2 linked regions of the Drosophila melanogaster genome follow. The protein of the gene in region 1 purifies or fractionates together with the protein of each later gene. This does not show direct contact. Each region holds a gene or a part of one and is shown on either strand. Other genes may lie near its edges.

Region 1 (4,426 bases):
CAGTCCTCGCAGTCGTATTGGTCCTGCACCGCCTGCTGTGTGAAAACCGCTTTCGTTCGGCCCGTGATGTTCAACAGCTCCGTGTGGAAGAGGGCCAGTGGCGCCATTAGGGCCTCATCGCCCACCTGTATGGTGTAGCGCAGCCACTGGCCGTTATGTTTGCGCAGGTTGAAGTGCTTCTCCTGGGCGCCACAAACGCTGGCGTTCAGGTGGCAAAACTTTTCCTTCAGCTCGTCCAGCAGATGGGCATCCACATAGCTCTCCTGCACATTGCACTCGCGATAGGGAAAGCCGCACTTTCGCAGCAGCAGGAGTAGCACCTGATCCAGGTCGCCGCCGCCATAGGACAGCCGCACCCTGGCATCCAGCTGCGAAATTCCGTCCTCGATGCAGGCTATGGAGGTCTTTTGGGCGCCAATGTCCACCACACAGCCGTACCCAATGCCGGCGCCAAAGGTGGAGGCGACGCTGTCCTGGACGAGGAAGCAGCGCCGAAAGCCCAAACGCCTCAGCAGCAGGGTCACGAACTCGCGCAGATGCCGCCGCACATAGACATCGTTGACCACCAAGACGGCGCAGTGGGTGCCCAGTTTACGCAGCGGGATCTTCAGACGCTCTTCCAGGGCGTACGACCAGATTCGTTCCAAGTGCTGCATGCTGGCCTGAAAAAAAAAAAACAGCTTCATCAGTTTAGTTTGGAAACTACGAGGAACAACGCAGCACACACTTGTAGCGAGCCGCCCTTCTCGTTGTGCACATTCAGCTCGCCCCTTTGAATGGGAAAATGGATGTCGTAGTTGCGGGCATCCACAGCACCGAGTCGCAGGATACGGTCGTCGAACAGCACGGGTGCCTCGCGATCCAGCCAGGGCTCGTCCGCCATCTGGCCACTGGGCGCCGGCACCTTCTCCGCCTGACTGCTCCGGTTGAAGTGGGCCAGTTGCTGCGGCGGAGTGGCCACCCGCAACCGGTTTTTGTTATCGACGACGCAGTGCTGCAGAATGCGCGACACCACCAGGCGCTGCTCCTCGAACTCCACCATCAGGCCGGAGTTTGAGTTGACGTTGTCCAGCGGCGGCAGCAGCGGATCATGATGCGGCCTATCGCTGGCCCCCGGACGCCTCCTGTAGGCCACCGCGTGCAGCAGGGTCAGCGGATTAAGGTCGGCCGCCCTGCCGATCCTCAAGTGCTGCGATCCAGGATGGATGACGATAATCTTTGGCGCCTCCAGTGGCTGCGCCTGCGGCTGGGGCAGCCCAATTGGCGGCGGCGCCGGATGCCGGCCACTGCTGGTGCTGCTGGCTCGGGATCGTCTGGACGAAGGGAGAGTAGCCAAGTTGCAAAATTAGTTGCTTCACATACCACTTACTTATTCACTTACTGCATCGTTTGCTTTCCGAAATCCGGATCCTTTGAAAATGCGGAAATCGGAGGCAACAACAAATGGCAACAAAGCCAATGTGACCGTGGTGCGCAAATGAGAACATTTATAAAACAGGAACACAGGAAAAACAGAAAGTTAAAGTAATAAAAAAATAGGGCTGATTTACAAAACTCATTTTTCATTAATTACTATTAATTCATTGTTGAAATTCAAAGCACTCATATATATAACATATAACAAATTCTTTGTTTAGTATATTGTGTGTGGATGGTGCCGACGTGAGTGCCGTCTGGTCACACTGTCAAGAACGTGGTTTTGTTTTTTAATCATCACCATTAAATTGAGCAGCCTTACTTTCCATTGTGAAATACGCCATTCCAGAGTGCCAACGAAAACGAGAGTGCCAGTCAAGCGATCATCGAATCCACTCAGCGCCACAATGTCGCACTTCACCTGCCTGAACTGCGATGCCCGCTTCGCCAGCGCGGATGTGCAGCGGAATCACTACAAGACCGACTGGCATCGCTACAATCTGAAGCGCAGGGTGGCCCAGCTGCCGCCCGTTACGGCCGAGGAGTTCCAGCAGCGCGTTCTTAGCGCCCGCAGCGCCACGGACGCGGCACTCGAGGAGCAGAACCTAAGTGTCTACTGCCACGCCTGCAGACGCCAATTCGCCAGCCAGAAGGCGCACGACAACCACCTGAACAGCCGCAAGCACAAGGAGCTGCTGGCCCGCTTCGAGCGCGAGCAGATGACAGCTAGCGGCGGCAGCGCCAGCACCGCCACATCCGTGTGCACGCGCAGCGTCGTGGAGCAGCGGCCCCATCCGGCCCTGGCCGCCGCAGCCGCTGGCAAGGGTCGACTGGCCTTCGCGGAGCGGGTGGTCAAGGCCAATAACGACGAGGAGATGGTCGACGAGGACGACGATGATTTCGAGGACATTGAAGAGGAGGAGGTAGGAAGCGCTATGCAGATAGAGCTCGCATTAGACTTTTCCTTGCTCATAGAAGGGTTACCTTGAGAATGATTTCCTTGGAGATTCTATGCCTGGTTAAGATATGCACCTTTACAACGTATACAGCTTCTTATAAAGAACAACTTGATTTTTTGCAGGTGGATTCCGATGAGTGGGACAAGATACCCGAGAATCCGCTGACCGAGCGCGACTGCCTGTTCTGCACACATGCCAGCGAGGATCTGGTGGAGAACCTAAAGCACATGTCCGTGGCGCACTCGTTCTTCATTCCGGACACCGAGTACTGCACGGACATCGAGGGCCTTCTGTACTACCTGGGCGAGAAGGTGGCCAACTACTTCATCTGCCTGTTCTGCAACGATCGCGGCAAGACCTTCTATTCCCTGGACGCCGTGCGCAAACACATGATCGACAAGGGCCACTGCCAGATGCTGCACGAGGGTGTGGCGCTGGCCGAGTATGCCGAATACTACGACTACAGCAGCAGTTATCCGGACAATGTGAGTATCACATAGCACAAGCAAACCTCCATTTATGCTGACTGAATCTTGGAAAACCTTTTAACCCGCACAGAATGAGGGCATGGACATTGACGAAGAGGTGGTGCCGGATCTGCTCGATGGCGATGAGTATCAGCTGGTGCTGCCCTCAGGCGCGGTCATTGGTCATCGCTCCCTGCTTCGCTACTACAAGCAGCGTCTTCGTCCGGAACGCGCCGTCGTCATCAAGAAGTCCGACCGCAAACTGCACCGCGTGCTCAGCGAGTACCGGGCTCTGGGCTGGACGCAAACGCAGCAGCTGTCCGCCGCCCGCAAGGCACGCGACATTCATCTGATGAAGCGCGTCCAGTCCAAGTGGCAGATGAAGCTCGGCTGCAAGGCCAATAAGCTGCAGAAGCACTATCGTGCACAGGTTCTGATCTAATCATCGCTTGCTTTTCTTTCCAAATGCTATTGGCCTCCCCCCTACTTGTACAATAAAAAGTTTTTGAGTTTTGCTTAAATTAAGCATATTTGTTTGCTTTCTATATTACTAGCGATTTCTCGTCGAATAAAATTACATAATTTAAATTAACAATTAAATAAAGTTTAATTTTGATTCGTTTATATAAAGTAAAAGTATGTCGTTACGGTTACTGCATAAAGTTAAACATTATAATTAGACCAAAAAAAAAAATAGGTTCTAGCGTGTAAAAAAATAAACTCTGCCGAATCCATCAAGGCGCCCACACGGCATCCCCTCCCCGATCCCGGGCGACTGGGGGCGTGGCCGGTGCTGTGGGCGCGGCGGTGAGAGCTCGAAGTGACTAATCAGTAAGAACCGCAGGTGAGTGAGTTTTCGTGTGTTTCGTGGGACCTGAGGGTCAATTTCAGCTAGTTAATGTTAATGTATTTTTATTTTGGACATGTGTCTGTGTTGCAGTGATCTTCATCGGGCGTCTTGTCTTACAATGAACCAAGAATCTCAGCTTCTTTTCAGGAAAAGCTGAAAGTGTGACTATTACCACTCAAACAAAACAAAATGATCTTCGCTATTTATCCAATTGAAGTCACGTTGTCACAATCGCTAATTAAAAGAATTTTCATTTAAAATTGTCTACATAGAACAGAAATTTTCTTCACTTAAGATCTTACAAAAGCGCAGATGAAAATATTAACAATTATTCGTCAAAATTAGTAGTATATGTACATCGAAGTACATCGTACATGGTATGTAAAATTGGAAAAACGTGTGGACAAGACCCCCGATTACCGACCAACTATGGTGCTGCTGCGTTGGTGAATTTGTGGTTCCTTGGTTTGTGGGCGGGTGGAGGCGTTGGTTGGCGGTGCAATAAATAGCAGCAGAGAGCGGCAAAGGGCGTGAAAAGTAGTGTTTTAAGCGAGCATCCAACGTTCTTTGCTTGCTTCCAGTTTATGCTAATGTATAACTACAGGATTCTGTTGAACACAAACGCCCACCATGGGTGACGACGAGGAGGCATCGCTGCTGCTGGCTCCGGTGGCCGAGCCGCTGCTGCCACTGCCGACACTTTGAGAGATGCCCACCTGCGCGGCGGGTCCGGT
Region 2 (3,493 bases), on another chromosome or scaffold:
GAAAGGTAAGTCATTTAAGGTTGTTCCAAAATAGATAGATAGATCTTTACCCAGTGGTAGCAGGCGACTGCTCTTCTCGTACTCCTCTGCAATGCGTGTACCCCTTATGACCGCCAGTCCGGCTGCTTCTTTGCAAATGAGACGCACACTTCTCTCATCAATGCTGTCGGCAGGCAAAGCCAACTGCTTAAGGTACTCCTGGCACTTGTGATACACCTGGTCGGCGTCTTGCAGCGCCTGTTGGCGGTAGATGTGCTGCAGGGCGATATAGGAGTCCGTATTGGCAGTCATGTCCGGCAGAACGCCAGGCAGAGGGAGATGGCCCTCATTCTCATGTATCACAAAGTGCTTTAGGGCCTTGGCCATGATCCAAAAGACGTTGCTCTGTAAAAAAAAAAGAAAAACAAATGAAAGTAAAGTATACGTATAAATTCAGATTATATGGGCAACCTTCTTGTTTAACTGTTCGCAGGCATCATCTTCGAATATGGCTTTCAGGCTTTTGGGAACCTGTCCCGCTCCAAAGGCTGTATTGACCGCCTTGATGGCCTCTTCATAGTTTTCCTCATCCGCCTTCATCTCCTCTCTAATGGTCTCCTTCAACTGATTCTTCTCTTTGTAATTTCGAGGCGTTTGAGTCCCATCCGCTTGTTGTTTTTGCCACACATTAAGGTATTTGTGAAGAACCAGCAACCAGGGCACCTTACTGGTCACCTCGGTGCCGTCGAGATGCTCCCGCAAAGCATCGAATGGATGCTCCAGACGCAGATCAAACTGTCGATTATCCGGATGCGCCTCCACGATGCAGTGTTCCCGTATTTGCAAGCGTATTGTGCCCAGCATGCCAAGCGATCGGCAGTAGATTAATGGAACGTTAAGCTCCCATAACCGTTCGGCCAGGAGAAGCAAAGTCTGCTCATTGAGATTGGAGGCAATCACTAAATCGAAGCTGTCGAAGAAGTTCGGTCTGTTGGCTAATAAAAAGTCGGCACTCTCGTCGACATAATCGCCATTTACGTCGGGATTGAGTTCCTGGAGAAGTTGCATGCAAGCCAATGCTTTAGATTTGCCCAGATAGCTGGAATCGAGGAAGAAACTACGGAAAAAGTGACTTTATAATGGTGGTCAGGGAATGTGTGATGGTCTACCGACTTGTTGCCCAGATCCTCCTCCTTGACGGTGCTGCCATCGGCCACAGTGAAGCCTCCGATACCGGGTAGCACCAGTCCCTTGGCAGTTTCACAGCCGACGGCCGTAACATTCACCAAACATACTGTGGCTGCCTCCAATAGCGTCTGTCCATGCTCTCCCCACAGCCTAAATAGGTGTCATCAGTGCTATGCTTCCGAATTTATCAATTAAAACGCTCCTCACCTGATTTGTCTGTCGTATTTCTTGCTTTTATCCGAAAGCTCTGGCGATTTGGGGGCTGGCGAGGACATTTCACTAGATTTTTGTGCAATAATAAGCCGGTTGCAAATAATCCAGTACTGTAAAGCGCCGGCAGCCAATACTTCTGACACAATTTGTTTATTGGGTGGAGTGTTGGAAAAAACACGTTGGTAATTTTAACTGTTGCTTATTTAAAACATTTATTGACTATTACGTATTACATTTCATTTAATTTTATTGCATTAAACTACATCTACGTACAAGCAATCAGTCTTTACAAATAAAATGTATAAACAGTTGAGAAATTAAAAAGTGAAAGTCTGAGCAAACCAAATAAAGTGTCTGGTTGACAGTTTTTGAATAGCATTCCATGGCTATGGTTTTGGGTGAGTTTTAATATTGATTTTCAACATGCAATTAATTTAATTAAATAATACCGCTAACTGTTTGTTGGCTGGGCAGTGTAGGCAGCGCATTTTGCAACACTGGGAGGGCTAATGAACAGCTGTTTTATCGTGTAATTTCACAACAAAACAACGCATACATCGCTGTGTTTTCTTCTGCATTTCCGTCCGATTGCGATCCAATTTGAACTAAATAAATATCAGTATTATCACGGAGATAATGCCGGCCAAAAAGAGAACTGCCGCGTCGACCAGCAAAAATAGCGATTCGCCATTAAGTCCGCACACAGACGATCCAGCGTACAAAGAAAAAAGAAAGAAAAACAATGAGGTAAGTTTAAGAGTTTTGGATGTAAACAGAGAGCAAAGATTGGGAAACATGTTGCTGTGGCGCCGTGGCCCCCAGAAGTCCCCAAAAATAGATGCCCACTATTGATTTATTACTATTCTCGGAACAGGCTGTTCAGCGCACACGCGAAAAGACCAAGAAATCGGCCGAGGAACGTAAGAAACGCATCGATGATTTGAGGAAGCAAAACGATGCTCTTAAGGTTCAGATCGAGACGAGTGAAAAACATATATCTACGCTTAGAGATCTGATCATTCAGGGTGAGAAAACGGAGGACGGCCATCGAATCATCCAGGAGATTCTCGCTGAACCAGATCCCGATCCCAAGGACAATGACTAACGAGGAGCTTCTCCTGATTTACCTTCTTATATTTTCATACTTTTAAGCCATTTCCCATGGTTGTTAACCATGTGTATCATCTTAGTTTTTCGATTAAAATGGTGCAATTGCTCGAATTCTATTACAAAGACAAGCACTCATGCAGACGAGAACAGTGTTTGTTAAAATCCTACATAAATGGTTTTCATTATTGGTGAGTTTTTATCATTTCTCACCAAATACTTGTTTTTGTTGTACTTTTCTTTTACTTTTGTTTATATTGTAACACTTAATCACTGTATCCATGTTGCACTGAATCTAAATTTTAAAATTATCTATATTTAGTAATAGTGATTTCTATTATTTTCGACATGATTCATACAGCTAAAATCATGCGAGTCTTGAATCAAATAAAGTGTCTATTATGATTTTACCCATATCAGTGTTATTTTATACCCAATACTTCAGCTGTTTACAACTACTACTACTATTATTATTTCCTTGAAAGTTGATGAACTCATTAATCAGAAATACAACCCAGATTCCATCATATACATATGTTCTACGTTTAAGTAGAACTTCCGGCAAATTAGATACTAACCGTCGTAAACGTCCAATTTCTCCATGTGTAGGCTAAAGACCTCGTCCATTTTCCGAGATATGAACATATGAACTAAAACTATAGCTATTGAGAAAGTGTCGTTGTGCCGATAGGTTTTTGGTTTCGGGTGTCCCGTTAGGTCTTGCTCTCTTTGCTTTTGTTGTGGGCGCTCCTTCCGTCTTCTTCTTTCAAACACTCACAAAAACATTGATTTACTGCACTTTTCGCACATTCATTTGATGCACAACTCGACGGCGATTTGATTTGGCGGGTGGTTGGTTTCGTGTCGAAATGGAAGTTGGATTGTGGGGCTTTTTTCGCGTTCAATAAATTGCCGTCTTCCGCTAATTAGCACCACCCGCACACTGATTCCGATTCAATATCAATTTGAAGTTGCTCACATGGCACGAGGCGAAATAAACTGAAAT

The links. Proteins that work in one complex are often made in the same cells at the same time.
Region 2: the proteins of CG6769 (region 1) and Irbp18 purify together in Drosophila melanogaster (affinity purification with mass spectrometry, with the first as the bait; one large-scale study listed by BioGRID). This does not show direct contact.

The regions. Positions count from the first base shown.
Region 1 is NC_004354.4:17,859,341-17,863,766, forward strand, and holds CG6769 (uncharacterized protein), read left to right. Parts: upstream 1-1,661; 5' UTR 1,662-1,823; coding exon 1,824-2,339; intron 2,340-2,497; coding exon 2,498-2,860; intron 2,861-2,933; coding exon 2,934-3,284; 3' UTR 3,285-3,435; downstream 3,436-4,426. Other genes in the region: Arp8 (Actin-related protein 8), read right to left, coding at 1-662, 728-1,313, 1,382-1,386; mnb (minibrain), read right to left, coding at 4,280-4,426.
Region 2 is NT_037436.4:11,096,634-11,100,126, reverse strand, and holds Irbp18 (inverted repeat binding protein 18 kDa), read left to right. Parts: upstream 1-1,940; 5' UTR 1,941-1,985; coding exon of another isoform or gene 1,986-2,016; coding exon 2,017-2,127; intron 2,128-2,254; coding exon 2,255-2,485; 3' UTR 2,486-2,681; downstream 2,682-3,493. Other genes in the region: APP-BP1 (beta-Amyloid precursor protein binding protein 1), read right to left, coding at 51-384, 451-1,096, 1,153-1,317, 1,375-1,442; CG33947 (uncharacterized protein), read right to left, coding at 1,986-2,035, 3,066-3,114.